Drosophila melanogaster: one gene and its partner. The protein of the gene in region 1 interacts with the protein of each later gene in a pairwise test. Each region holds a gene or a part of one and is shown in the gene's direction. Other genes may lie near its edges.

What was found.
Region 2: the proteins of CG10651 (region 1) and Dok interact in a two-hybrid assay, tested with the Drosophila melanogaster proteins (one large-scale study listed by BioGRID).

The regions. Positions count from the first base shown.
Region 1 is NT_033779.5:20,127,763-20,142,309, reverse strand, and holds CG10651 (uncharacterized protein), read left to right. Parts: upstream 1-7,386; 5' UTR 7,387-7,408; coding exon 7,409-7,528; intron 7,529-7,586; coding exon 7,587-7,978; intron 7,979-8,028; coding exon 8,029-8,467; 3' UTR 8,468-8,555; downstream 8,556-14,547.
Region 2 is NC_004354.4:7,322,619-7,340,676, forward strand, and holds Dok (downstream of kinase), read left to right. Parts: upstream 1-1,595; 5' UTR 1,596-1,970; coding exon 1,971-2,054; intron 2,055-2,917; coding exon 2,918-3,235; intron 3,236-3,478; coding exon 3,479-4,945; 3' UTR 4,946-6,188; downstream 6,189-18,058. Other genes in the region: Atg5 (Autophagy-related 5), read right to left, coding at 1-164, 540-645, 728-827, 902-1,054; Acsf3 (Acyl-CoA synthetase family member 3), read left to right, coding at 6,542-6,619, 6,700-6,889, 6,973-8,537; CG42780 (uncharacterized protein), read right to left, coding at 8,670-8,892, 8,963-9,393, 9,449-9,559; CBP (sarcoplasmic calcium-binding protein), read left to right, coding at 15,098-15,238, 17,686-17,898.

The DNA.
Region 1 (14,547 bases):
AGACTCGAAGTGGCTTAGATGGAATCGGAAAGGGAACGGGAACGGGAACGGGAAAAGGGAGGAGGTGTTGGCCCGGGACTACTCGATAATGCTTAATACCAAAGGCGATTACACTAATGGTGATTGGCTTTATGCTTTACGAGCGACTCAAAGTGCCAGCGAGAGAACTTAACGGCTGCTAACTTTGGCCTAACTGTTGATCACCAGCCAAGTTTTGTCCGGCACTCACAAATCTTTTCGCCCTGTTCGGCGATGGTTGTTTTTTTTTTTTGTTCCCCGCCAGGCAAACTACTAACAAAGTCGTGACAAAGTCATTGACTGTATGGCATTTGCATAGAAATGCAATTTTCGGCCAAAAAACACACACAACGGAAACCGGGGAAGCCGTCGCCAAAGTTCTTCCACCCAGTTGCGCCGCATCCCTCCGGCGACAAGCTCATATAATTGGGGCCCGCGTAAATGGTCCTAAACCCGCGCTGGAATCGATTTAGCCAAGACCGCTTAGCCGTTTTATCTGTATCCGCATCTCCACCTCGGGCTTCCCGAAAATTGCTCGGCTAATAGTTGGTCTCCGGCATATTGACAACTTGTTTAATCATAAATTCCATAACCTAAGCTGGCCCGTCCACAAAATATGGCCATAAGAGGGCCAAGCCGAGCAAGATGGCAATGGCCAAGAGGAAAATGACCATTCCTTTATTTTTGTTTTTGGGGTGAATTCGAGGATGAAGAGTCGGATTGTGGTTGGGCAAATTGGAAGGATATTGTTCTGCTCAGAGATTGCTGCGTTAAATATTAGAGGAGGTAATGGAACTTGTGCCTTGGCATTTCTTGGATTAAGGATGACTTTAATATCGAGGCTACATTTTAGCGTCACAATATAAATGCACATAGCATAAATGATATATATTTTTTTTTTGATTTTCTCGTTAAATGCAATGCCATTTATCACTTCATAAAAGCACTGAAATATATTCGGCTGCACAACCATCCACATAAACAGGCAAACAGAGAAGTAGACAGTAGACCCAAAGTTACGAGTTTTTGTCGTACATTTCACTGGCAAAGCTGAAGTTGTTTGAAAATAAACTGCAAAAAAGTAACTTTTCAATTAAAGCGGAAGGGAGTTTGCTTTTTGCACAAACGTTGCAGTAAATTGATTGAAATATGCAATATTTCAACGGATCAATAAACGTGTTATCTATCCATTTGACTGCCGCTCAAATCTAAAAGTCAAATACGAAATGTGAACCACACGAATGACTCTGATGGCAAATTTCTGTGTACAATTGGCCGCAGTTTTTGCATTCGTGACAACAGCATATGCTATGGAAAGTGCATAAAAATGTTATAGTCATTACAATTAACACACTCACAGCCATAGCTGGAAAAATCAACCACACAGAGAATAAAAGCGTTGGAAAAATCGAGGAAAACTCTCTGACACTCTGGCTCGCTGTGAAAACTGTCAAAAAATCACGTTACTGATTTTTGGGCAATTGAACGAAACGCTTGCATTGCGGCGATTGAGATAAAACAATTCGCATTCATTTATTATTTTCACGAAACAGTTCGTTCCCCGCGGAAATTTAAAACAGAGAGCAAACAATTTTGGCCGATTTTAGAATAGCAACAGTTTTTTGTTCGTTTATTTAAATTTCTTTATGGCCTTTGCTGATTGGCATAAAACTTTACCCCAATGGAGCTGCACTCGACATTTGACTTTTGAAATGACCGCAGCAGCCCACGGCGGAATGGAAATGTGGAGAACTTGCAAGAGTGCGCACTACCAAAATTTGCCACATTGACACAATGAGGCCAAAACTGAAGCGGGGATAAGGACAACACAGTGCAGCGAACCTGGCTGCCAGCTCTTTTAAACAATTGCATTTTTAATGGCTTTGAATGAGAGAAAAGTTGCTTTTCCACTCACTAGAACTAATTTACGATTCCGCCAATCAGGAAAGAACTTCCCTGGAGCAACTATCGATTGCATTTTCGGCCTGATGCATTCCGGCTTTAAAAGATTCCCAAATTGAATACACTTTTTCGGCCCGTTCTACATCTCCAATGTTGTCAATTTTGTTTATTTAGACCAATCGATCGATACATATATGACAAAATATGTTTGTCCCGTCGCCAGGGTGAAATGCTTACATTGATTCCTGCATAACAAATAGTTTACTAACCAAGTTCATCTGGCAATGTATTTCAGTCTCTCCTTTTGACAGTTAGCAATTTCGAGAACTATAAGATGTTAGAATGGGTATAAAGATTTCAAAGATGACCATTTGGCTTATGTTTAATTTAAAACAATGCCAATAAAAACAACAAAGAATCTGTGGCGCCCACAAAAAATTATATATATCTGAATTTGAATTTATATGTTTTGCTAGATTTTCCCAGAGCTTAATTGAGATTTTGACTCTTGATTATGAACATCCATCAAAAAAATGTTTCAATCGGATTATTTATTAAAAAGTATAAGCAATTTGTGTAGCAGCCGCTCGGTGAAGCTCATAGTTAAAGCAGTCGCTTGCACATTCCACCCCACCTCTTTTAGGGTATATGATAGTCGGGACACTCGAGGGAAAAAATTAAAGAAAATTCAATATTACTCGTATGCATGTGCCCTCAGTTTCTTAATTATTAAAGTTACCTTTTCATTGTATTCTCACAAATATAATATTAAATAAAGTGCTCATATTCTGTTACCATTCTATTCTGTTGAGTCTATTTACGAGCATATGTTCATAGGCTAGTTTATCGGTAGGCACAGCTTGTTATCACTATCAACGCATCGATGCGTTGAATTTTAATGCATTTACCAGGATATACCGAAAGAAAAATGACTTGAAATCGAAAGGAAATGGGTAAGAAAGGTGAAAATTCAGCAAAAAGCAACAGTATGTCTTCGCGTTCTCCAAGACCATTTCCCACGACTTGGAACTCGATTTTTTGCTCTAGGCTTGCGCCTTGCCGACATAACTTAATGACGTCGTTTTATGTTTCACTTTGGCAGCGATGGCAATAAATTACCTGTGTCTCGACTCTTACTTCAGTGCTGTTGCGAAATGTGCAATTTCGACCTCACCTGGTCGTACCCACCCGAACTCCGCCAAAAGAAAAAACCCGGAGAATTCATTGCGTTAGGTGCTGGGATTACCGGAGTGGAGTTTCCTCGGTGTCTGCTGTGAAAAGTGAAATTCCGGGGCATGCAGAGACTGAGGAAGCAGCCGAATGCATGGAAACGGAGATGGAGACTCAACACCTGGGCAAATATTTCACATGACAAGCCAAGGTGAAAACGGTATGCCGAATGGAGAGTCAACGGGTTGGCGTTAGTTTGATTTTCCACTGTGGTCGCCTGAAAAATGTGGTTTATTTGGCTTAAAGAGGGTTAAATTTTCACTGAAACTGTTAGGATATCTTCTGGCCTGAACTTACTGCTGTCTGTCGCTGCTTACTTACTACCTTAAATAATGCTCATTAATTCATTGTGCACATTGCATGAGCATTGAAGAGCCATTAGTCAATTAAAATTCGAAAACAATAAAACGGTTTTCAGAACAATACACAAATGCCGCCTGTCAGTTGCATAAGTGTGTTGAGTGTATAGTTTTTTAATTTCGTTGGCACTTCAAAAATGAACTCGAAACTTGGCTGCACTTCCTGGTGTGGCAGACACTGAAAGTGACAGAAACAGGGAAAAAACAACGGGAAATTCGAAGGGGACGAGGACGAGGTGGTTGCATTTTCACACCTGAGTGTTTTGCCAGTGGCAAGTTGAGCTTAACTAGACAGACAGTCGGATTGTCCAAAAGCGTCAAAGAATTCTCGCCTGATTGTGGATAAACTGTTTTTCACTTGGCTGTCACTGCTCCAACTTTGCCAGAATTAAATCCCATCTCTGCTCAAGAGCCTTCCAACCGAATGGCTCTTAAATATGTACAGAGTATTCCTTAAAACGCGGAAAGTTGTGCAAATATCCCAGGTAGATTTACCCCACAAAGTCCAGAGTCTTTCGCAAAATTTGTTTAAACACTCAGAGGCACTTGGGTAAAATGCACACGTAGCCAGCTAGCCACGTAGCCGAAAAGAGGTAGAAACTTGAGGCAAACTATCAAAAAAAATAAAAAGAACCACATTACACGGCCAATTGGGAACTGATTGGGTCTGATTTTGGCCCACTGAGGTGGATGAAAGTGCAGCTCGACCAGATTGATTGCTGTCTGCAGAGCTGGCAGAAATTCCCCCCCCCCCCTCTCCTTGCTTAACCCCTGCCCACTTTCCACTCCCCATTCCAAAAACCCAAATCCCCAAGCCCATCCCAGCACACACACTGAGCCACATCTCGAGTCCCGTCTCGAAATCCTGCCTGCGCACTCCAAGTGAAGAACATTTAGCCGCCGGGCCGCCGCAAAGTATGCAATGAGCTTGCACCGAGCTTGCTGAGCAGGCTGTGTTTGTGTCGTGTAATCTGGGCGTTATAAATAAGTAATTAGCACATAGTGCAGGTGCACTGACTCGTCAAACATCGCATCGCTCTCACATTCCGCAGATCGTACATGTATGTGTACGCCATGTATGCAACACACCGCACCACATTTAATGGCCTCCGAGGAGCGCAATTCGGTTTCCAGGTCCTTTGTTCTCGCATAATGACGCTCTAGCCTTATCTTTCAAACGTGTCAAACATTGCGTCTTGTCTCCATATGTAAGGAAGAGCGACCTTCGGGCCCCAAACTAAAAATAAGGGAAATAGCCATGTTGTTTGCTTGTCCAAGCAGCCTTTATGCCTCGATCATCTAGAATGCAAGTGGTTTTAATTGCTATTGCGAGCCAAGAAGCCATCTTCTATCATAGTTCTTTTACAAACACAATCACGGCATGTTGGTAAACTAAGATTTAAATTACAAACGGTTTGTTATATGAATTCAATTCAAGTATTTAAGAAATATCGAATTCCTGGCACAAACATTTCCTTGTTTAATTCATTTAAAGCACTCATTGCAATTGAGATCCTTTTAATGAGCACACATTTTCCAATGTTTATTCAAGCGCAATATGCTCCAATAAAGTTTCCGACAATTCAGCCTGAACAAGGACACCTGAAACGGACCGAAAAGGAGACTGTCAGTCCGGCGACTTAATACTGAAGCGGAAACGAAATAATGGCGCCAGAATGCAGTTTCAATGGCGCTGGAAATTGGGATTGTCATATATATATGTGCGAATATGTGGATTCGTGGGCCTGCCATCTCCCATTCAATCAGGCAATTAACATTAATTATGATACACGCTCGAGAACCCATTTCCCTTTGGCCACTCATATCGTATACTTCATGCATTTGGCTCGCGTTAAAAGCATTTTTGCGACAACTGCTCCCGAAATTCAATTTCGGTTTCCTTTCTTCCGTGGCTTTCATTTTACTTTTTGCCAACGACAATATGCGCAGCTGATTTCCCCACAGGCAATTGGGGGGATCGTAATTAATGCGACTGATGGTGGTGTTCCTCGGGGCTGTGTGTGGAGTCATCAGCCATCAAATACTCACATATGGCAATCGATATGACAATTTGGTGCATCCATTTTCAGCAACTAATTGGAAGGTAAAATCTCTGGAGAGGTGCAAATATGTTGCTGCGTATTTGTTTAGTAAATATTAGTATATGATTTGATTGTTGCCATTGAAAATTGGCATTTAATATGCATAAATGTGAAACTAAAAACACCGGACAACTATCACATACCCTGGAACGTAGATATATATTGTAGTAGCACCATGACGATTGCTAACAAACTTGCTCACTACCATCTTCATGGGCGGTAGAGTGGGCGTGGTCGTAGATAGTGGCCAAATGAATGTATTCCAATTAAAAATGAAATCTTTATTGATAAATGTAGGGCGTGAGTGTTTTTTCAACGAATCTAGTTAACCGTGTTGCTCTACGAGTAACTGGCATGATTACAGAAAAAAATGTATATTCATTTTACTAAATTGATTTATATTGATTATTAAGTTAGCTGGTAGTAGATATGCAAACATTAAACATTAAGAATATTCATGCAGGCTGAAAAAAAGATGTAGATAAATGTAACATGTGCTATCGCTGATTTAATATACATTCAGATCTAATGTATTAACATACTGCATTAGATTTTTTACACCCGGAGCATTTTTATTTAATTACTCTGAAACGTAGCTACATTTCTATGAAAACCGCGTCGCTTTTCTTTTTTTAACACGTCAAGAATTTCCACCTCTGATAACCTATTTCATTTGGATGCAAACTGTAATCGCGTTTTTTCACTTTGAAAACGAACATGGCGTGAAAAACGTATGTAACGACTTCGGCACATTTTTTAACTTTTATTTTTGCCCCTCTGCTCTGTGTCACATCGCTTACTCGGTTCGTTACCTTTCAAACTCAATTAGTTTAATTAATTTGACGTAACGGTGCCATCTCTTTGTTGCCAATAACATCAACACGTCCAAAGAAGTACAGAGAATCTGCACCAGGTATGAAAAAGTAGCTGTGGGTCTCTCGCTGTGAATTTTCAACTCACTTTTTTAAGCCTTGCGAATGCACTCGTCCTTTCGAAGACCTTAAAACAACGTCTGAATTTTTCCAGCAACTTCTTAGGCGAGTCTTAAAATCGAACTTCTACAACTCTAGTGCTGTGTATTTTGTACTTACTTCGGTCCAAACCGCCAATAAGTGGATTAGTCTTTTAGTTGAGTGGCTTAACGAGTTGCAGCCAGATAGACAAAGCAGGGGGAAAAAAACTGGGGAACCTGACTTCCTTTTTTTTTTTTAGCTTAACCCCTGTTAAGCGGCAAATGTGGTGCAGCTAATGTGTGTATTATTGGATTTATTATTTCACGGCAACTAAACAGGGGATTTTACTGCCCATCGGTTGAACGAAGAACGTTGGGCTGCAAAAGTTCACGAGACAATTAAGTGGAGTACAAAAGCAGAAGTACGGAAACGAGTTTTCCCCCGTTAATTTCCTCATTCAGCGACTAAATGCTGCAATCAGACAGCCACTTAAGCTTAAGTCGCTTCCTGAATCAATTGCCTATGCCATTTCTTTATGAGCAATGCAAAGTGCCTTGCATTTCAATGCAAAAACCCATATAATTGATAGAAGGGACTTCTGGAGAGTGAAAGATCTTTAAATCTTAAGAACTGAATGGCCAATGCTGTCTCAGTGATACGTACCATGCCCTAAAGACACTTGGAATACAATAAATGAAGGAACGCCTTTCAATAAGTGATGTTAGCAACCCAATTAGTCGCGGATCAAGCGTAGAATTAACGATTCATTATATGCTCGTCAAGGCTTCGATTTATTTATTTCAAAACCTCTGTCAGAGCATACACAACTCTGGTTATTTATGCCATGATAAAGTGCATCTGGCTGCTGTTCTCCACATTATATATTCAAGATACAGGCGCTTCAGATAAATGGTGCAAAGCTGACCTGTGCCGAGGACAACACGTGCTCTGCGATGACAATGGAGTGAGTGGGTAGTAAACGGGAGACCAAATCATTCGGATCGCTTTACATATTCTTACAGAATTTTGAATCCACTTGTCCCAAACAAGCCGCAGCCATGGTGAAAATGAGCTGGGATATGATAGCCCTCATCGTGGACAAGCACAATGAATATCGCAACAAGTTCGCCGGCGGAATGGATCAGAATCCGAAGGCGGCAAGGATGACCACGATCGAATGGGATCCGGAACTGGCCAAAGTGGCCGACGGTCTGGTACGTCGTTGTGAGCCAATCCGAGATCAGTGCGCCATAACCCCAAATTACGGTCATGCGGAAGTCAGCTATTCGCTGGAAAAGTACTTCTGCATGACCACGAAAAAGGAGGCCCTGAGGAAGCAACTCGATCACTGGTTTGACCCCAATAGTAAAGATGAAGTGCAGAAGCTGTTCTTCTCATGGACTAAAAATCAGCAGTAAGTCCATGTACCAGGAAGTCCAAAATATTATTGAAGACCGTTTCCAGGGAACTGTCCAAAAACTACTTTCAGGTATTGAGGGATCGAGCTAATCGCGTGGGCTGCGCCATAGTTGAGTATGTTCGGCCAGCACTGGTCCACCAGTTGCTAAAGTGCGTCTACAACTGCGGAGTGAGTCTCTGTGAGGAGGAGGATAATCCCGTCTACGAGGACACCGACGAAGAAGCCGCTTCAGAGTGCATGAAGGGAAGCAATAAGCAATACAAGAATCTTTGCCACAAAGATGAGCTCGTGAAGACCTGCAATGGTGGCTCACTTTTCGTCGAACCTGAAAATGATTATAACGATGGTCAAGAAGAGAATATGGAAAACGATTATGAATTCGAGACCACCGTGTTCACACTTCCAACGTACGATCCAAACGATGTGTTGCCAACGCTACCAGACAACCCAGATTTAAATTTCAATACAATAGTTAAGGACTAGGATCGGGAATAAACAAGTTATTGAAAAGTTTTGACCCTAAATAAAATTTCAATTCATTCCGATCCAAATGAGATGCACAACAGTGAGTAAAGGGTGAAATGCATATCTGACTGTAATATATTAAATATGTCCTTAGTATCCGCGATTTTGATTGCTCTGTAAGTGGAACAGTGCGATTCATATGCGCAACACTAATATACATTTTCTGCTTCTCTGGTTTTGATGTGTGACATCTTTGGGATGTGTGGCTTTCGTGGTGGCAAGTGGTCAGTAAAAGTGTATGAAATGCAAGCTCTCGTACGGTTGAGGTTTCTGGAAAGTGGGTTTCTTTGGCACCGGGGGAAATCAAGGAACCAGGACTATCATGCATGCCCCATTCAGCCACTTCAAGTGCAACTGTAAATGAAATGAAAACAACCGCACAGAAGTAACAAAACAGGACAACAAGTACGTTTCCCCCTCCCCTTTTCAGGAGCTTAGGCGTGTTTCGCATGAAAGGAGTGGAATTTCTACCAGAAGACTGAAACTTATCAAGAGAGAGAGAAAAGTCTGAAAAGCCTGAAATTTCCTTAGTTCATTGCAATTTCAGCCTGCCATTTTGCAGTTCGGATTGGGTGCAAAGTGAAAACGAAATTCAATCAATTTCACGAAATAAAAGTCCTACCCCGATGCACATTTCCACAGCAATGATTTCAGTTTTCAATCCGCTTTACTTTTACGAATTCCGAAAGGCAATAATCCTTATTTGATGCTCGGCTAGTGGTTACTAAAATAAGACTAGCCACTAGTGCTGGCTGGTATATATGTATGCATCAGCATAAAATATGGTAATCTTCAAGTTGGGTTTTAATATTCGCTCGCATACTAATGCCGGGTTAACCCGTCCGGCTAAACCGTCAAAACTGTGACGCAACCAATCTGAATTTTAATACCAGCTTCTGCCCAGGAGTTTTCCACCACCCCCACCAGGTGGCTAGGTAGTGGGTGGTAGTGGGTGGTATCTTCCCTCTGAGACGGAAGAACCCTGCCTGAATGGCTGTCGCAATGTATTAAATGGCCAACGTGGCTTTCGAGGGGGGTGGATGGGCTGTGGGCTGACTAGCACTAACCGCAATTTATGTCGACTTCACTTCCGGTCTGTGGGAAATAACTCTTGTTAGGCTGCCAGCAGCCAGCAGCCAGAAGTCCTGCCCTGTTGTGCATTGTGCGTGGGTGTGGGTACGGGTGTGGTTGTTGGTGTGCTGGCGGTATTTCTTGTCATCATTTTCAGGCAGCTGCAAATTAACTTGCATAATTCAAGCGTCAGTGGGAAAATGTGGCCCGAGTTCATCGGCGCATTTAAAGCCGGGCGAAGACTATTATGTCCTTGTGGCCTTGGTGCCTGTTAAATTATGAGCCCACTGGGCGCATAAATCAACACAATGCCTCTCCATCGCTCTTTGGCTCAATTAATAAGAAATTTCCATAAATGAGCTTTAATTAGATTGGGCGCCAAATTGAAAATGGTTAGCGTATACACGAAGTTGCCTGGTTAGACTCCGCTAAAAGGTTTTCGCCACACTTCGGCGAAGGTAAATTGGAATTTTCAATAGAAGATATATTCGCCCTTATTAAACTTGCGTTTTCCCCTCTCCGAATTTCGTACAAGTAGAAGTTTTTCCCAACCACTGGGAATTACTACTCATTATGCATAGTCAGTATAGGACGATAGAATGACGACACAGTCTCTTTGTCCTTGGATGTGGCGCCACGAAAACGTCAAGATTCGGCACTCTCATAAATTCTATGGCGCGTGCGGTTCGGGTTTCTAGTTCGGAGCTCTGAGTTTCTGCTGCCAGTAAATCTGAAAATGTTTAAGCACTATCCGAAAAATCGAGAAGCCACTGCAAAAGCCAATGACTGCCACTTGGCAACATTGGGAATTGAGCGCAGCGGAAGCCGAGGAAAAAAAACTCGAAGAAAAGGAAGTAAAGTATAAAATGTGAATGCGAATGCGAATGCTGGCGGCTTGTTGCCGGCATTGGAAATTTACGAGTGACACAAATGTCCTTCCTGCTGCATTGCAGTCGCTGGCAAATGGGAAAGGGGATGTGGATGGGAAAAGGAATGGAAATGTGAATAGGAGAAGCTGGTTTAATGACAAGACAAATTATGAAATTTTTAGATGCTCAACTCCCTTGGCAAAGTTTCAGATAAAAAAATAAAAAAAAAACACGAGTTTAAGGAAACCAGAGGAGAAGAGGGAAAAAGTCATTAAAGATGTAAGTATACATGTATAGCAAATTCGAAAGCTTTGTGTCACATTCAGTGTGATATATTATTATGACCTAATATGACCCTACTACTACACATGTTTTCGAAAATATAATTAATACGATTTTTGATAAATGGCTTCTGCGAGGTCGCACCACAATTACATTATTCAATTGCAAAAATGGTAAGCACTGAATGTCAAATGCGAACATTTCGGTTCGCCCACACTCCTTAACGAGTACAATTCAATAAACTTTAAATTGGTCAACTTTAAAACTTGTGTCCCCGTCGACAAGTGCAGTTCAAAGTTATTCGAATGCAGCGCTAGTCTGAAAGGCAATGCAATCCCTCGGAAATCCGCAAACAAAGCCGCCTGTCTTTCATAGAACTTGGTCCTGGGTGACATCATGGGATAACAATAAAGCACACAAAGCCAACAAAAAGCCGCAAGAAGCTACCAAGTTAAAGACAAAGGCCCTTGCCACATATTGTCTCCTGGCCTGGAAGATGAAATGGAGATGAAGGAGGAGCAACTGGAACCGTTCCAGTCCTCAATTCACATGCATGTGGCCGTGTCAGCAGAAAGATTATCAACAATAAGAAATATGTCGACCTATCGAAGTTGAAGTGACAAAGTGTGCGGCGCTGGTCCCAGCCCACCACCCATCCATCCATCCATCCATTCGGTTACAACCAGTGTTTGGTACCCCAAATCTCAGGGACCGACTTTTGTTAACAAGAAGGATATTGTGGCTGACAGGAGTCGACAACGTGCGGCCAGAATTGATGCGGGTGATGGCTGTGGACATTTGTGTTTGCCACTCGAAACAATAAATCCACTCGAGGCGAACCCGAAAAGGAAACTGAATCAACCACAATAACCCGGCGGCAAAGATCGCAAAATGTGAAGGACCCCGTTGACCAGAAAGATTCAAAGTCTTCGACAACTGAATTATGGACAAAGTTCGACAAGGTTGCTGGATTGATTTGGGTCCGACTGTATCTCAATTGACCAACTGACCTCATCGGCTTATGTAAAACGTACATCCAATTGATTTTCATTATTAATTGCTTCCGCTACTTTTTCCACAACGGACAACGGAGCGTAAATCTTACGAAACGCAACAAAAAAGAATTACAGAATTAAAAAAAAAACCATTGTGTATTTCAAGGTTATTTGGCAAAGAGAAACTTCCATTCCATTACAACCGCAAATCACTCAACACTTTACTGCCGAAAGTTTTTGAAAACTAATTAATTAACCTCTAATTGCATTGCCAATGAAATCTGATTAATCAATCTGCATTGCATACAACAGGAACAAACCTACTTTGTACTTTGATTAATTGCCAAAACTGGGGATGGCGAATAAAAATGCATTTCAAGATTGGCCAAAGCTGTCCGAAAGTTAAATCAATCTTCGTTTCGCAAAGTTTTCCTGCTCTTGCTTTTGACACTTGGTTGGTCGCATTTTCTGGCCAAAAGCGAAGGAGGGCCATAATTGTCAGTGGCAGGTTCTAGTTAGTCCCAAGATTGGGAAGAAAAGTTGAGAAGGGTTGAGTTCAAGACGTGATTCGACGTCGTCGTAAGATGCTGTACAGGCAGTTGCACGAATATGAATATAAATAAGAGGTTGGATGTAATAAATGTTCGACTTTATACAAATTCTTAGACTTTTTAAGAGTCATTAATTTAGGTAGCAGCCAACTCGTTGGCTGAGTCTGTTCTTCAACTACTCACAGCTCCACGAATTAAAGTGAGTTTTCTTTGGCGTGCTCCAACCCAGCGCCATTGTTTTCCCAATGATTTTCCTGGCCCTCATTTGAATTCCAGCTTTAGTGCGCCATAAACTCGTAGTGCAAATACAAGAAGGCAGCACGAAAGTCGCATTGAAATTGAAGCCTGTCTCAATGTTTTTGTTGTCGTCTGGCGAAGACACTTGAGACTGACATATAAAACATGTCTCGTTGAAAGTGCGTGAGTTTCTGCTTTGCCTGCATATTGCGAGGACTGCCAGGACTCAGACTCATCGAGGCAGACATGTCCTTCCACTCACTCACAAGCACGCCTATCCATTCCGACTTCCAGTCCATTTCAATGGGCAAGCTCACTCTCTTATCGTCACAGGCAATTTGATGCCTGATATTTTTACCATTTAGTTCAATCAATTTGTCACAATTTCCGGCAGTGGTTGATAAAAACCAAAAACAAAAAACAAAACCAACACAACCGGGGCAAAAGCACCCTGAGCCAGGACCTATTGAAATCTAATGGGACACACAGCTCCGTGACTGTGGAAGACGATGAGCATGGCGATGTGGATGCTGCTGCCTCTGGTGGGTGGATGGGTGGATTGGTGGACGGGTGGATGGGAATGGGTGGATGTGGAATGCTCGCAGGTCATTGATCAGATCTACGCGACACACATAACAATGGGCCCTGGACCAAGCCCAAACTGGCACGTACTCCGAAAATTTGTAACTTGTTGAAATAATTTCCTTCCTTTTAACCCCAGAAGGATTTGTGGTGGTTAACCTTTCCGTATGGGAAATGTCAAACATTTATGAACTGAATTATACATATACATTTTTTTTATCGGCAAGCTAATATTTTAAAAATATTTATCGAGGAAAATGATCTACGATTTTATTTTTTTTAGGTTTTTCGTTCAATGCGAAAAACTAACGCCACGATGGTACTGATATAACATATTAGCTATGTACCCATTTTAATCAATTAAATAAAGTGGTGTCAAGCATAAAGTGATTGGGTTTATTATTGCACTGACACATAAAACAGTAAATCCCTTTAGGGCCTCGTACTTCCTATGCATACTAATGCAAATGGGATATGTTTCCGAGTAGGTGAGATCAGATATTTATGATATATTCGGTGGATTTGACAACGCTTACGAGTTTCCTTATTCGCCCTTCATATATTGTAGTTCTCAGAGGAACTGCAAAGCGTTGCATACCTGGAGGCGCAGTCGAGAGTTATGACAGAATGGCAACACATTCACACACTCACACACGCATTTTGGCGCCTTTTCTCCAGGGTGTGCACCCCTTTCAATCCGGACTTTTCCTGGCGGCTGCAGTTTCTATTAAAATTCAAGTGCGCTGCAGCACAGTGGCAGTGAGTAAGGAGTGTTTTCCGAGTCCCCTGCACGGAAATTACATTGTAAATTTTACCGCAAAGTCCAAGCTAGGCCAGGCCAAAACTGGTACCACCAAAAAAAAAAAAAAAGAGCAAAACAATTTAATTAAAAACCGTGTGGCGAACAGGGATTCGGCTTTGTTTTGTGCCTGGGATTTTTACACACATAGTGGTGACCCTTAATTAGTTGAGAATCTGCGCCATAAAGGTCAACGAAAAGACATAGTATTACATTTCAAGTTCGTTTGTGGTTAAAATGTCGGGTTTTTAATGTTGAGAAAAAAAAAACAATTACAAACTATATTGATTTCAAATAAATCGTAAGTAAATAAAACTTTCAAACTGAAACTCTGGCGTTTAAGCTGGGCTTACTCAAAACACGCTGTGTATCTATATTTTATAAGCAATTGAATATGAATATAGTTATGCTTTTATTTACTAGTTAAATATAGAAAGGTGAAATATTTATATAAAAATCTTTTTACAAGAAATTGAAGCTGGTGCCGCAAGATACGCAGATACCTCGTATTAGAGCACTTAAGCAAAGTGTGCCTAATAAGATAAAAAGTAGATAGCAGGCACTACATTTGTCGTTTCTCCCCGTTAAATCGCCACCTTTTTATTGAGCACTTAAAGCCTTGATAATGTGTCAGAGTGAAATGCGGAGGAAG
Region 2 (18,058 bases), on another chromosome or scaffold:
TTAGCCTCCGATTGACGGCCCAGAACTGATCGAACTTTTCGTTGACCAATCCCAGCCAAAGCTGATTGTGGTCCTTCTTTTGCATAGCGGATATGACCAGGCCGCGGTGCTTAAGCACATCTGCCTCCTTCAGGCAGGACATGTAGTGCGATTCAAGTAGCTCCCTAAGAGTTGCGGATCATCAGTAAAAATTCAGTTGGAACCAACAGTTTGTGTACCCTAGTCGAGGTAACTATGCTATTTTCAAATATTTGAAACGTATTAAAAACCCTATTGTGGTACGTTTATCTTTGTGCGAAGTTGTTAATTCATATTTGGTCCAACTTTTATATGACATTTTCTCTTATAACACGGGATTTGCTTGATGGGCAATTGTTTACCCTGTTATTACTTCGACATCCACGGTGATTGTTCATTGAGACTCGAAAAGGGAAAACTATATATGATTGCAATCCCAAGTTACGACGTGTTAAAGATAAGATTTCGCAAACACGACTGTGGGGTACACAAACTGGTATGGCGATTTCTTTAATAAATACTTGGAGTTGAGCTTGACGAGCATGTCCTCGGGGAACTTGGAGAAGTGAATGGTGAGGCACCAGGGCGTGCTGTCCTCCTCCGGATGCAGCAGATCGTATAGGACACCTAACCAGGATTCAAGACAGTACCATCATTAGTATCAAATGGGCATGCTATGATATCATCATCTCGTTAATGTAAACCCCACCAATTGGATAGTGAAGTCGCAGGGGCGTTCCATTGAAGTCGAACCACACAGCTCCATCCTGGTGTTCGGCGCTTATATAGCGTGAGAAGTACTTGCGAACCTGCCAGGATATGTACGACAGTCATTGGGATCTTATAATTGGTATGGCCATTTCCATTTGAAGCCTTTGTTTACCTTGTCAGTCACCAAAGGCAAGTAGCTGAGTCGCGATATCATCAGATAGAAAGGCTCCGGCTTAATGCCCACGATCTCGTCCCGATCCGCCTGGAAGCATATGCCTATCTGGCCCTCCCAGATCATTCGCAGCACCTCGCGGTCGTGGGCCATGTTCCTTATTTGGCTTTTGTTTTGGCTAAATTATATTTCCTTTTTGCACAATACGATTTGCGATGTTACCAGATGGGTGAAACAATGCTATTTGATAATAGTGATGGCACTTGGCATTCGAAGATGGCAACGCTGAAATATCGCACGCCACTTTGCTGCCAGACTGTTTGATTTATTTTTATTCATAGCTATTTTTTTAAACACACGCGATTAAAATATTTGCTCACAGAAAATATTTTCACCATAAATTTGTAACTTAATATTTCACATAGATATATATATATATATATTTGCATTCAAAATAATATAAAATATCAAAAAAATAATATAACAAGTTTTTCGTATTGATCGAAATGTTGATAACTCCAACAACGCAATTATGAGAAATTAAAATTGCGCGCTAGGAGAGGAAAACATACCAAGATTATAAAAATATGATATTAATTTATTATTTTAGACCTAAGAAATAATTCAACCGCTTTGTTACCAAAAAACCATAAGTTATCGATCGCCATTAGTTATCGATGACGATTGCAGCAGCTGCATGCAACCGTGCAGCGCATAAATAAATAAAGTCGACTTGCCTCTGTGCTCGCTTTTTGGTGATTTTTTTTTGTGCTGCGGCTGCGCTTTTCGAAATTCGAATCTCCGTATTCGCTGTGCGATATGATGTGATGTTTACTATGAAGTGATCAACTAAATGCGACCGCGAAGCTATCGTAAAGCACAGAAAAACGGATGAATTGAAGGAAAACTCCAGAAATCGCATAGCCCAACTCCAGCAACAACAACAACAACAACAATTCGGAATCGGAGGCGCATTGTGTGAGCTAGATCGGCGAAGGAGAGGGAAAGAGAGCAGGAGACGAAGGAGAGTGGGAAGAAGGAGAGGAGAGGTGGAGGAGTGGTGCACAGAATGGATGTTGAAATACCTGTTTTGGCTGGATATCTTAATGTGCCGACCCAAACTGGATTTTCGCTAAATCGCATCTCGAAAAAGGTATGGAAAATCGCCGTATTTCCGCCCTTCTATATAAATATTTCCCCATTTATCAGGGTTTAAAAAGTTACTTTCTGTTTGCAATTATCCTACAAGTGCGTAGTTTTCGATAAATCAAACAGGACCTATGTGTTAATGTGAGTGTGTTATGTGCATGTGTTTCTGTCTGCATACTTGTTGCATACAAATGAGGCCCACTGTGCGAGTGGGAGTGAGACAGCGATACGCGGTAGAGGGAGTGAGCGAGAGAGGGGCCGACTTCATACAGTTAAGGCCATAATATTAGCATATCATTTTTAATAATATTAATATTCCAAGACCAACACAAACCCTTTAATGAATTAAGTGAAACCGTATTTAAAAACAATATATCAGGCAGTAATAATATGATGCTTTTAAGTTAAATTAAAATTCGAATAACATGCTATGCATTGATCCTAATAACTTTACCCCCACTGTTGGAGTTTCAGATGGCACACACAGCTGGCGATTCATGCTACTTCGTGGTATTTGTGTTTATGCGCGACAGGAAATTCTTGAGCCAGCAGAAAACTGGGGAAAAAGGGTGGTGGTGCAGGGGATCGCAGAGAAGGGGCAGAGTGAGGGCGAATAAGTACTTCACGGTTTAGCCCATTATGCTCATACTCTATTTTTATATTTTTTTTTAGCATTATCCAATGCAGGATACTACAAAATCTTAAGACAAATTTGAATTGATTCTGGTTATTTATACACTGCAGTTTCATATGCATATACATATACATATACAATACATCTTCTTCAGTACGTTACTAAGATATAATCGTTTTAAGACATCCAAACCGATTTAATCGAATCCCAATTTTTTCTTTTTTTTTTTGCAGAAAGCATGCAGTCGCTACTGTTTGCTATTCAAGGCCAGTCGGCATGGGATTGCCCGCCTGGAGATGTGCGAAAGCAAGGAGGACCGGAACCCCAAAATCTTCACCCTCGAAAACTGTGTGAAGATCACTCAGGAGCCGCCTCCCGAACGCCTCATTCACATTGTCAAGCGGCAGGCTACCCTAACACTGAGCACAAGTAGCGAGGAGGAGCTCAAGGATTGGATCACCGCCCTGCAAACGGTGGCCTTCTGTGACACCTCACCATCGGGGGGAATCGGGGCCATCGAGGAGGACAACGACCTCTACTGCAGCTCCTTTGTGAGTGATCATCTCTGTATAAGCGAAAACTTTCTGGGGTATTTCGTTATATTTGCGTAATCTTATAGTTGTCAAAAGGGGTATACGATGAATCTAAAGCGTTCTTAAGAAACTAACGTGAAAATGCACCTCCAATTCCATTTTTAGTCTCTGACAATAATTGGCACGTTTAAAATAAGAATATAAAAAAAACCGAACCGCATAAAAAATCCATAATAATCCACACCTTTTATAAATTTGCAGGATGGCTTGTTCATTATCACGTTGATTCCATCCGAGGCCTCCATTCGTTGCTGCATTGAACCTAAGACATATATGCTCCAAATGACGCCCACTGAACTTCAGTTGAAATCGGAGGATTTGGGCGCCACAATCGCCATGTGGCCATATCGTTTCATTAGGAAGTACGGCTATCGCGATGGCAAGTTCACCTTTGAGGCGGGCAGAAAATGCACCACCGGCGAAGGCGTTTTCACCCTGGATCACACCAATCCACAGGAGGTATTCCGCTGCATGTCCGCCAAGATGAAGTCGATGAAGAAACTGATTAGCGGCGATAGTCTGAGCACCTTGGAGTGCGGTGAGAATCAGTTTAGTGCGGCAGCTGGCATGGAGCCCGGTTCGCGAAGCCCACTGCCACCATCACCGTCGAGTAATCCCCACGGTGGCGAGTTCGAGATCAACTCAACGCAAAGCTGCATATCCCTGAGGGGCTTCATTAGCTCTAACGATTCTCTTAATAACTTCTCGGCGGGTGGAGGTGGAGCAAGTGGCGCCACAGCAACGGGTGGAGGCGTTTTAGGAAGTACCGGAGGAATCACGCTATCCGTGCCCGCAAATAGCAATAGCAACAGCAGCAGCAGCAAACACATTCCCAACAAACCGCCACGCAAAAGCCCGACAACCCATTGTGATAAATACAGGAATATTGTGAAATATGAACCTGTGGCCATAACTACGATATCTTCGCCATCCGCCAATTCCGATGTGAACAGTTCAGTGATACTGAAACCCCTGGAAGGCGAATCGATATCCCTGCCGGAAACAGCAGCCGATTTACCGCCCGACTTGCCGCTGCGAAATGAGAGCGCCTCGAAAGCACCGCCTCCGGAGCGGGATTACGAGTGCATCGAAAATATCACAGAGGCGTGGCGCACAAGGGGCGTGGGCGATGTTAGGCACAGTGAACGTATGCCCATACTCTGCGATACCTCAGAATTTGTACGCCAGCGATCAGTATCGAAATCCACCTGTGGCAGCCAAAATACACCCAAGATCATAGACATCGATATCGGTGAGGGTTGCACTAGCGCCACATCCATTAGTGAATCGAATTACGATCGTTTAGACTTTCTATCGCCGAACAATAAGACATCGAGTGGCTATAAGACCATTGTGAATGTCACACCCGGTAATCGCATACGATGCAGTCCACCGCCACCCAATGAATACGAATTGATCGCTAGTCCCGATACGGAAAGCTTCCGTAAAGCCGATGACAGTCATCGCGGTTACGGGGTGCTGCGAAAGGCTAGCACCACTACGAACAATAATAATCTAGGAATCTCCAATAGCAATATCAGCGGCGGTAGTAGCACCATCACAACTGCAACGGCCAACAAAGGCGGCAATCTCGAGGCGGCAGCCATCGATCATCGCAGCTATAATGGCCTCAACTACACAATGGTCAGCAAACCGAAGCGAGTGTAAAATATTTAAGGATTTCAGATCCGATAGCAAGGATCCAGAGATCCTGGCATCGAACTGGGTGCAGTGGGGTTTTGGGGTGGATCGGGAGGAGATAGTCCTAGTTTTTATTTGTCCCAGAACTGTTGCTGTTTTCAATTTAATTCAACACAACTTGTTGACATGTTAATTTGGATTTTCCCAGTAGTCAAATTCATGACTATTTCGTTATTGGACGACGCCAGATGAATAAGCTTGTGTGCTTTTCGCGATACATTTTAAGTGTTGCGATAACAAATGTAAATGTATGTTCAAAAAAATTTAAAAAACAAAATTGAAAACAGTAACGTGCCAGTAACTTTTTACATAATTTCATACATTTTGAGTATAAGTGAAAAAGAAGAGACTGCCGAGTGCCTTACAGTTCTACAAAAAGAAAGAAATTCCTGGCTGGAAATCGAGGGAAGGAAGTGCGTCGAATCTCTAAATCCCAGAATTTGTCCTTCCCTTTGCCAAGCCAAAAACAAATACCATTCGAATCGTTCAATTTTTTTTTTTTTTGTAATTGTTTTTCGTTAATTATGTTAAATTCGTAATCTGTGATTGTATTGTTAATTGTGAAACTGTTACATTTTTAGCAAGCACTGCCCGCCACTTGATGATCGCACTCGAAAAATTCCCCCGGCTCTTACTTAAAATGTAGTGTTAAATTAAAGCAAGAGAAAAATGAAACTCAATCGAATCATGGACGTAACGAAAATTTACAAAATGTGTATGCGATTTATGCTAAATATATGTGTTTTTGTATATTTAAAGGAACTAGATTTTAAATACACTGCAATTGTACTTGTTTCCGTTTATCCGTCCGTCTTCTCAAGGTTTTGATGCCATATAAATCGGTTATTCGAATTGTTATTCCTATACGTTTTTGTATGATAGATCATATAGCTGCCATAGGAACAAACGGTGTAATGCCATTATCTCAAAAATCACCCAAAATAGTTGACTCTTATTTTTTTTTTTTTTGCTCAATCTTAGACTGTAAATATACAATAGGTTTCTTAAGTGTTGTTTTCGATTGCACCTCCTCTCAATAACCCAAATAAGAAACCCGCCCCATCGTTACCCCATGCACGTTCGAGTTCTCAAGCCAGGATTGTTGTAAACGACAGTTTTGAGTATTATGCAAAGGTCACAAAAAAAAAAAAAAAAAATTTATATAAATTAAAACGAACAAACGAAGGCGAACACAAATAAGAAAAATACCAAAAGAAAAATAGTGACGTTCATTTTACTTGAAATATATCATCTTTTTTTTTTTACTTACCTTACGTTTACGATTATGACTATTGTAGTTATTAATTTTTGTGTCTGCAAACTATTATTGTGTAAATAAAGACCAACAAAAAATCAAACAAATCGAATTGAACGACTTTCATTTGTGTCCACTCAAGTATGTCATGTTACGAATCTCAGAATCGTTTTGGCTTTTCAAGCGATAGCAACTGAAAATCTGAGTTAAATTTTGCTCTTTGTACTATTATTTAAAATAGCTGCATTCGCGCACACACCATCAAATAATCCATAAAAAAAAAAAAAAAACAAAAAAAAAACAGTAAGATGCTGCTACTTCGCCGTTGCCACAAGTTAAAGTTGCGTCCATTGGCCCGTCTTTGCTCCGCCGAATTGATACATAAGGTAATATATATAGGTAGATATATATATATATATAATATTTATGTAATTGCAATTCCACAATTTCTATTTAATGTTTGCAGGATGGCTTCATCGAGAAGCTGCGCCATAGTTTCGATGAAGAGGAGCGTAGTAATGTGGTGGTGCCCACGTTCAAAAAGGCTATGCTCTATCCGGATGAGATCGCCGTGAAAGACATCAATGGGGAGTACACTTATTTTCAATTGTATATGGCCGCCAAACGTCTGGGCATTCAGATCTCAAATATATGTGGTAAGTGACAAACCATTTTTCCGGACGTTCAATTTATTTACGGTTCAATTTCAAAAAGTTTGCAAATTCTTCTCTTTTTTCAGGCGGCGCCGCGCTTTCGAATGTAACATACTTGTGCTCGAACAACGCCCTGTGGATAGCTATACAATGGAGCTGTTGGATTTCCGGACAAGTGGCAGTTCCACTGGAATCCGGCCAGGCGATAGATCAATTGCAACGGCAGGCATCGAACTGCAAGACCAAGCTACTGATAGCCACTAAGGAATTTGAGTCACTTGCCCAGGAATTGTCGCAGGGTGTGAAATCAGCTACCATCATATTGGATCACTCATTTCTCCCGACGGCGGAGAGTGTATCCTCGACATCGATGTATGCCAAACAGCTGGTGGCGATCCAGGGTGTTATCGTAACGGAAAATACGTTTCCAAACGATTTCTATTCCAAGGCACCAGCCATGCTGATCTATACGCCCAATGCGGTCAATAGTCCCAAGCCAGTGTTGTTGACCCATCGGAATATCGAAGCTCAGATGCGATGTTTGATCGGAACTTGGCATTTGGGACCTACAGACTGTATGCTGCCAATACTATCCATGAATCGAATGCATGCCGCCTTGGCAGCAGTTCTCAGTGTGGGCGGTAATGTGGTGTTGCAGCAAAAATTCGATGGTCACAATGCGTGGAGTGCTCTATTGGGCATAAATAGCCCATCCAAGCAACGGGTCACCCTCTTTTTGGCCATGCCAATTGTCTACAAGCGTCTGATTGTCGAGTATGAGAAAATGTTTGCCAAGGATTCGAGAATGGTTGAGTACATTGTGAATCATTGCCGGCAAAAGATACGATTGATGGCGACAGCTTTTGCCTTGCTACCGGATTCGGTGTTTTACAGATGGCGCGAGATAACGGGTCAAAATATATACGAATACTATGGAATGATGGAAACGGGATTGGTTTTGGGTCATCCGTTAAATAAACGACAACGTGACTCTCCACATAATGGTCCAACAGCGGTTGCTATGGCCAATAATACCGCCCCCAACGATTATCGACCGGGTACGTTGGGTTCGCCGTTGAAGGGAGTCACGGCCCGATTGATCAGTAATAAGGGTGACGAGCTAATAACCTGCAAAAACGAACTCGGTGGATCCGTGGATAGTGGCCTAATACCGGTGGAGGATATCGGCGGCGATGCATCCTTGGCGGGAACCATAATTGGTGAACTTCAAATTGCTGGTTCCAATTTGGTGTCCAATACATTGGCTAACAACAATCAGGAAATGGAACACAAAGGAACCACAAACAATGAGGAGCAGGAGAACAACCAAGATGGTTTCTTTAAAACCGGAGACATTTGCGCCTATCGTAACGGAAACTTTTATTTTTTAAGTAAAAGCAGCGATATCTTCACCGTCGGCGGTTATAAGGTATACGGATCGGAAATCAAAAAGGTATTGATCTCACATCCGAATATCAACGATGTGGCTGTCTTAGGTATTCCCAATAAAATGTGGGGCCATCGTCTTGGTGTCATATGCATTGTATCCCCGGATGCGGATATTGATTTGGATGCGATCAAGACATACTGCTATCGCCACCTACCAGCCCACAAATGCCCTACCGTTTTCAAGACCCTCGTTTCCAAGTAGATATAAGACGACCCCTAAGCCCATAGCTGCAAATTTAAGTGATTACTGACTGTTATGATAATAGAAATAAAAATAATAATAATAATATCATTTAAGCTTCAGCAATAGTGCTACTAAATCGCTTTAAAATCATTATATTTTAGCACATAGCGGTGGATACTTTTGGTCAATTCCCTTTGCGCACTCTATGCCTGCCTTGGCGCATTCTTCATAAACACGTTCGCCAATAACATTTGTATAAGCGTAGTTACAGGCCAGATTGTATCGCCGGATTTCACCCAGATTATATGCAACTAAGCCACAACCAACAGCATTACTTTTCTCATTGATCAAAACGGTCAAGTGGCCAATAACTCTAAAAAAAAAAAACAAAAGCGTAAAAGGAAACTGAAACTAATAAATGGGAAAAAAAGTAAGTGACAAACTCTGGTGGATTAGGTGTCGTTTTCTTTAAGTCCTCGGCGGTAATATCCTTTTCCTCGCCTGCCCACTTTTGAACTGCCATCTCGAAGAGCATGCTTAACGTCATATTCATTTTAGTTTTCGTTATCCTAGCATGAGAAAATCCCATGGCAAATAGATTCTGTCCAGATAGCCGAAACTTTTCCGTATTGTGACACTCATCATGTCCCATAAGACAGGTTTTGGCATTTAAGATTGCCAGCTTTTCCAGGTCCTTATTCCATTCCATTTTGGCCATTTTACAGGCGGTCCACTTAATTTTTGCTTTGCCACTAGCCCATTTTTGTCTCACCAAGTTGTGGGCCTTGATCAGAGCATTTTTATCCCCAAGATTGAGTTTAATCACGGTTGCATCTTTGGGACAAGAGCTACCAAAGGATCCGTTTACATTCTGCTGCTCACATAACACATATTGAAATTTGTCGCTAAGTTTTCGAATGATCACTTACACACGCTATGTGGGTGGTTCCTTTGGTACAGAGATCCTGCCTGCAAAAATTTTCTGCCAAACTATGGAGAACTAGTGATAGTACGAATATATTGAACGTAAAGACTGACATTTTAAGATTTTGTCTGGACTTTAGGAAATACAATTCGCTCTTATATGCATGCTATGATGTTTCAATTAGTGTTATCTGCTTACAATTTGCACGACAGTACTTAAATCTAGAATATATACATCTAGTATATAAGTTATAACTATCGCCTACAACCCGCAAAAACAGTCAGTAGGTTCGTATTTTTTTTTTTTTGCCAAAACATTGTCATAATGCCAAAGACCACGCCCACTCTAGCGCCCACATATATTACAAAAGCATGCAGAGATATGGTAGATTACTGCGTAATCTTTGTTTACAATTTTGTTTACGCACAATTTTTGTGTTAACGTGCCGGGAACAACGTAGTCGTTACCCTTTTCGCACTCTTCTTCTTGGGAGCCAGATAAAGCCCCTAAGCAAATTCTAATTGGTGGCTAAAAATAGCAGTCGATGGGAAAAACAAAAACCTATTTACAATTATTTTAAATGGCAGTTCACAGTGCACAGGGGAAAAAATGTTGAATAGAAGCATAGTAGAATAGAATGCCTCATAAGTTTTAACAAGTCTTAGAACAATAGCCCAAAATGCCATTGCTTATGGTCTTGGAATTGAAGAGCTTCAAATTCAATGCTACAAAAATAATCGAAGTGATCTTGTTTATTTTTTTCAGTGTGATGGATCTCCACTTGCCACTTAAGGAGCTTTCAATCGCCCGACATCAGGGTTAAATGTTATGTGCCGGTGTGGATTACCTCAAAAAAAAAAAAAAAAAAAAACTCAAATGCCTCTTATGTTTGTTTAGATTTTTAGCATGTTTTTGTTTTGGTTTTGTTTTTCTGGGCCACGGTGTTGATTTTTTTGTTTTCCTTTCTTAGAATGCTGTTGTGTTTGAAGGCCAATTACACAAGCCCTAAAAGTGTGTTTATTGGCCATAAATAAAAGATTAATTTGGATCATTTATCATTACCGATAAAGGCGAATGCAAGCGACATAAATCTATCAATTTTACTTTTTTTTTAAACTTTACTACTGAATTTACAAATAAATTATATTGTTATGAAAATAACTTTAGTTTAGTTAATGTATTCGGAACAAAAATGTTATTATTTGCTTATGCAAAATGGACATTCAAATATTGTTTACCAAATATATTATTACTCAAACCCGCTACCTTAAGTGACTCTCAAACTGTAATCGGAAATCAATAGCCTTGTTTACCCGCCAAATTTGTTGGCCCCTCTATTTACCGAACATTTTCGAAAAGCAATTTCGAATTTTCAAATCTGTTTTGTGTTTGCCTACTTCATTTTCATTTCGTATTTGTTTTCTGGCCTAATCTTTACCGTAAAGTTGGACTGGCTTTTATCTCTAACCGTTTGGGTTTTGTAACTCGCGATGGTCAGAAAGTCATGTGTTGTTATTTTTTGTTTTGGGCATTGCTGTTGTTTTTGGGGTTTTATCAGCCATTATAAGCAGGTCGCTGATAAGGCGACCGTCAGATGTAATTTAATTAATTACACGACAAAAAATACATTTAAACAAAAACTATACGATTACAAATTACGCATTTTCAAATTACAAATATGTAATGAATGCATTTTTTAAAAAGCAATTCTCTAATGTAATTATCAAGCAGTAATATTTAAAGATATTGAAGTATATTTGTAAAGGAGTTTCATTGTTTTTCCACATAAAATTTGGAGTGTTATGAATTTGAAAAATCGAAGACCTACGACAACAACGTGGAAAAGGATGCGTTGCAAGTGGCACGTAGTCGCTGATTTTTTCTTGTCTTTTTTTTATTTTGTTTTCTGGTGGTGCAGGCAACTGGAAAACTCACACGCACACACACCAATGCACGACGCAATTAAATTTTATGACATTTTATGTAAAGTCGCAGCACGACTTCTCTGCCGACGTTGGCGTCGTTCCTCTGTCGCCGGTGTGTCGACGTGCCAAAATCCGCATACTGAAAGAAAAACTAGTGAACCCGAAAGATAAACAACCCTTTTGCTTAACCCTCCAAAGACCCGTGAGAAAGACTGTATGCACTGACCAAAAAAAGAAAAAAAAACGTACGCAAACAAATATAAATACAATTTCCGCTTTGTATCTGAACTCAAAATGATTCTTAGACCAATACCTATTATGTGAATGTTGCATTCGAATTTAATATAAACATCTGTTTTTGATGTGATAAGATGAGATTATTTCTTTTAAATTTTCTCCAAAAACTATGTTTAACAGTTGTCATTTTAGAGGGTTAAACTAGCATCCAATGCGAACAAGAATAATTTCTGCCTTAATTCTTTTTTTAAACTTTTTTTTTTTTGAGCCGGCGTTGGGGCGCAACACGTACGCCAAAAAAACAGAAAGCCAGGGGGAAAACAACAACTGGCGCACTCTCGCACATCACACACATACACATACGCACATCAATATAAATGGCGTTGCGGAAATCTGAAATGGCATCAAAACTGTGGAACTGCGGACCTTGAAAAGCGCGACAAGAAATACTAGAAACGCAGAAGCAGAAAACACAACATCACAAATTCGTGGAGCACAAGGCTTCCACTTCGAGACGACGAGACGAAACGATCTTGTCCAATATTCTCGGGTATCTCGAATAGCACACGTGTGTGCGTGTTCCCGCTCGACAACGATCCACCCATTTCGATTGGATCCCCCGCCCAAAAAGACAAATGAAACAGAAGCAAAATCTTGGGAGCGGACTTACAATTACAATACAGTGGGCACTAGCTAAGATGGCAATCAAATATAAAGTATTAAATATTTTCAATTATGTTTTAAGAACTCTTGATTATAGATATGTACATACATATCTACATATGTATGTAGTATTAAATTAAAGTATTAAATTTAAAGATTTAAAATCTATTATTTAAGTAGTAAAGTTTTTGTAAAGGTATTTCTACTGTTTTTTTTCACCTTTTTCGCGCGCGCGTTTAAATTACGCATTTTAATTTTCGGCAATTGAGTTTTGGAGCTACTTATGTAGATGTCATGTGGATCGTGGGTGTAATGTTAAAAGCTATTTGTGACGTCATTAGTCGTGTGTCTCCAATTTTCGTTCTTTATTTGTTTATTTGTTTGCAGGTGCAGCAGCAAATAGATTATAATTTATGTATTTGTAGCGGGCGCATGCTAAACTGCACACACTCTACACCTACATATGTACATACATATGTATGTATATACTACATGGTTGGAGACCCTGTTTTGGTGGTCATATGTTTGCAGTTGTTTTGTGTTGCTTTTGTTGTCCCTGGACCTGGTGTTACGTGACGGTCGGAAAGTCAGCAGACAGCCGATGCGCCGGTTGTTCTCGTTCCAAGCACACGTCCACCCCGAAACAAGTGACGTTTATGCATTACTGTGGCTAATATTATGAATAGGTATTATCGAGATATCAAATACGCATCTATCACAATAATAAAATAATAGAAGTAATATTTAACTTTAAAGGAACACAGACAAAAGCAGAACGTTCTAGCAGATAGTATGTATGTATGTATATGTATGTATAGATATGTTCCATTATCTTTATAAACGGATTATGTTCAATTTATCTCGAGTTCACCGCCGCATAATCCGCTTTGGAAACTTCCCGGCTGCTCACATGTTTTGGTTTTCCGTCTGTATTTTCAAGTTTTTGCCTCCGCAGAGTGCAGTGCACTCCGCTTGCCGCATTCGAAACGGTAAAGTGGGGGGCCTTCGATTTTTTTTATTTTGTACGTAAAGTGTTGCACTTCTTGCGGGGAACCAGTGCTTGCAAAACTATGGGGGATTTATGAAAGCATTGATCTTGATGGGCAGTAAAAACTATTAAAATGAACCAAGATTAAAGGGAATTAGTGGAGCTGATAATTCCCTTTAATTTTTGCCGGCCACTGATATATCCATTCCGAATCACTACCCCCTTATTAATTTTTTCGATGGTTTCTTTTTTGTTTTCGTTTCGATGCAATGTTTTTTGGGTCCAAGTCCACTGGCGCTTATTTGATCAAGACTATTATACAATCTTACACGTATGTACAGCTGTGTATGTATGGGTGTCCACAGTGAAGGTACTAGAAATAGTGCTCCGTTGCGAAGAATGATCAGCATAGTGCATTATGCTTTTGGACAATTTGGGTTATAAAAAATAGTTTAAGATACCTTTAATGGTGGTAAAATGCCAAGTGCTTGAAATTAATTGGTATGTAACTGAAAACGATCTTTTAATGTTATTAGTTTTAAAGTGTTGTAATGATCCTATAATATTTACCGCACACGTGTGGGTGTAAGCATGCGTTTTGCTGTGGAGCAATGAAGTAGAACAGCAACGGAAAAACAGAAACTATTAGTGCGTAGGTATTTGTGTTACTTCATTTGTATGTGTGTGCGTAGAGGGCACTTTTCGGGGAAGTGCGTAGCGAGGGGGGAAGGGTGTCTTGGGGCATATTGTATTGGACCGACAGTTTGTCACACGCAGCGACCTAAATACGCACATTTTATGATATTTTCATTTTGAGTTTTGGCTTTTGTTTTTGGATTCCTTCGTTTACGTTATCAATTGGAAAACTGTAGTCCGTGTATGTATATGTGTGTGTAATCCCATGTTTATGTAATGCATTTTCTTTGGGCTTTATTTTGAAAACGAATACAGTTCTCCATTTAAGCGAGGTTTGACAATCACTGGGTTTTGTGTTTGTTTTTGCTTCTTCTTGTGCTCCTGCTTCCTCTCCATTTTCTTCTTCAACCGGCTTACATGGTCTTGCCTTTGTGTTTGTACTTACATATATACAGCCAAGGGCGCAAAAATATGAACTAAAAAACTTAAATACTAATTCCTCCGCATCTCTTAAAGCTGGTTTTAACATTTGGGAACGCTCATATTCAAAAATATTCTTGCGACACATATGCATGTGTATATTAATGCAGCTCAAAGTTTGATTTCGTGAACATTTGAAAATGTAACTACTAATATTTTGGCTTCAATAGTGTGTACTGCCTGCTTGTGGTAACCATTCCAAGTAGCAGCTGTTCTCCCTGCTCCCTTCTTATGCTGTCCTCTCCCTCTTCATCACACAAAACCACACACACACACGCGCACTCCCGCTCACACACACTCAGAAAGACCGCTCTGCTTTTACAGGCGTCGACGTCGACTTCTTTTCTTTGCGCAGCGATGGTTTTCAAAACGAATTCGAACGCTTAAGCGAACGGTTGTGTTTACTCCCAAGCAAAGATATCCAAAAAAAAAAAAAACTGAAACCACAGAGAAATCAAAATAGAAATTAGCGGACTCAAAAACAAAGTGTAACAAAACAAAGCAGAAAAATAAAGGCAAACATTTTTTTGTGGTGCATCTTCGAAAAAACCGGTTGTTAAATGCGCGTTGCAATCGAAATAATAACAAGAGTTCAACAACAAAATCCCTAAAAAAAAGCAACGTTGCACATTTTCTCGAGTGCAGTTCAAACTGTAAGGAAAACGTAGCGAAAATTGAGGAAAAATTTAAGAAAACCGAGGTTAAAACTTGAGCGAAAAACAAAATGGCATTCTCCATCGTGAGCCGTGGTATTTTGCGCACTTCAAGAGAAATTCTGGAACGCAACATGGCCGCAACTGTCGGCGTTCTGCAGCAGAATGCCTCCCCGCCCCCAAACACGCCCATTTCGCACAGCGATTGTCACGTAAGTGCATCTTTTCTTTCAGTGCATTGTAGTTAAGGTTACTAATTGAATTGACAGAAACAAGCAGTTAGAAAAACTTAGCATCACAAAGCGGACAGGAAAGAGCAGTTCCTAAAACAAACTTAAAAGCAACAGTTATAAAATAAAGAGTTTAAAACCAGTTCCACAAAAGATGTTCCAACCAAAAAGCAGTTCCGCATGATATAAACTCAAAACAAAGCAGAAAAATAGAATCGCAATTCGAAAAACAGTAAGTGGTGGAAGGAGAACTGTAAATAGTGAGGAAGAGGGGTGAATACAGACAAGCAAGGGAAGTGGAGAATGAAAATTGGGAGCGGGAATGTTCACGAAACGAGGCCAGTGCTAAGTAAACTGTAGCAGTGCATTCGAAACTGTAAGAACTCGAGTTCAATTCTTGATTAATATTAATAGATATTCCCAACTATAATTCTAGCAATACAAGAGAGTTTGGGATTATTAATTCTCTAATTTTTATTAACTTTTCATTCCCGCATTATTAATTTATTGTTGTTAGCAGCAGCATTATATATTGCTGATTTTTGGTTTCAATTGATGATTAACTATAAAATACGTTTAGGTGCTGGCAAATTTCTTGCACATCAATCATTAAAGGGCGCAGCACTTCAATCAATCAATAAGAAATTGAAAACCCGGCGCCGAAAGAGGCATATCCCTCAATGAAACAAATAAAACAAGATACAGTAAGATAAACAAGTGGAAATTACACACAAAGAAATGTTGGTATTGAATCAATAGATTCAACAAAATAGTTCAGTTAATATATAAACATGTTTCATCTTACTCCTATGTTGTTAGCTTTAAAAATACCGTCCAATAGTATTTGCATAAAAGTTTCGGTTTTGAAACGAAATTTATGATATTATGTTGACACAACATACATTAATTTAACCAGCTAAGCCAATATTAATACTTACTGGTATTTTTCACCGTGTATTCAGGTGAAAGCTTGTTTTCCCTTCTCACCGACAACAACCCCCTCATTTTGAAAGTCGGAAAACTGCGCAAATTCTGTAGCAGGAAAATCTTGCGCAAAAGCATTGGAAATTATAACAACAAAAGTACCCCACCTCCCTTTACTTTTTCTCTAACCGCCACGGAAAAAGAAGTTTTAGAATCACAGGAAATGATTAAAGTGATTTTATTCGCAATTTTTCTACTTCTTGTTTGCTGCTAAATTAACATTGACCTGTTGCTCGACTTTGATTTTTATTTGCCGTCTTCTTACTCTCTGCATCTTCCACATATAAATCATTGGCATTGTTTTTTGTTTAATTTTCTTATGGTCGAAACGTGTTTCTCTTTATTTTCGAGACGCGCAGACATTCAAATGAAAGGAGGCCCGTTTTTTGCATTCATTAATTCGTATTTTGGAGAAACTTGTTTACGAAAAAAAAAACACCGAAAAACAGAAACAATCCAAAGTTCGTTTAACCAAACGAAGCAACTGGAACCGAAAAAAGGTCCCAAAGCAGTCAGTCCAATACAATAAGTGTGCGGGCTTTATGATAATGTTATATGGTATGATGCATGATATCATCGTCGTCGGTGGCTGGCAACATCTGTACTTGGATTCTTTCTTATCGAGAGCCATTGAAATTCAAAACGTTTACAAGAGAATTCGGTTTCTTGTAATTAAAAGAGTAGCGAATTTTGTTTTTTATCTTTTCCTAATGGCACAGGTGATGGAAAAAACCTTTCTCCGAACTGGTTATTGGCATCAATATTTATCTTTTTTAATTTTCAAAGTTGCAATGTTGGCAGCAAAGGACATTGAATGTATTATATATGTGTAAAATACCGTGTCCTATATTTACATATATTTTATATATATTGGAAGCTATTTTCCTGCTGGTTTACAATTTCTTCTTTTAAATTCGTTACATACATGATCGCCACGTGGTTTTTTACCATTACCAAGCGCCTCTCAAACTGTAGACCGAGTTTTTTGAGATACATTTTGACAGTCACTCTTTGGCACTTTTAAGGCGAACCAAAGATGGAAAACTCGTAAAAAAAAACAGATAACGACGAATCAGGTTTAGAATTGTTTTGTGAGTAAACAGAACTGACCTTAACAATGAGAAAATAACACGCACAACAAAAACAACACAGGAAAACAGCAGTGCGCTGAGTTGTAATTAAAAACATAATGATTGCTTACACACCGAAGGGCGTCTAGCAACCATATCAACAACAAAAAGAGCATTCAGCATGGGGCTGTGAAAACCGAAATATACACAAAAACAATACAAAACAATAGCATAATGATTGCGTAACATTATTAATGACACGTTAGCATCTCTTTTTTTAAAGCACAATCAAAATGATTATTATGATAGAGAAACTTATCCAATACATTTTGCATTTTCACATTTTTCTAATTTCCTTTTTTTTTCTGATTTCAGCGCCTGGCATCTGGCGGCATTATCTGTGGACATGGAGCACATTCACTGCTTTGGCATCAAATGCCAACTGCCGTGGTCCAGGCTGTCCGTCAATATTCAAAGAAGGCCGGAGCGGCCAAATTGCGACGGGAGGTGGAAAGTGATAGCGATTCCGACTCGGATGATGAGTTCGAGCGTCGTCGCCAGAAAATGGATTCCAAGCGCAGCGAACGGGTGAGTGAACTGCTTGAGAAATGCATAATCCATTAAATAGATCCATAAAACACACGGTCCACGTGGCTGAGAAATTTCAATTGTGTTTGCTCGACAGGCCGAGAAACGTGTTTCGAAATTTGTTTATCGTGCTCAATGTCGTTTTTTGAACCTGCTCTAC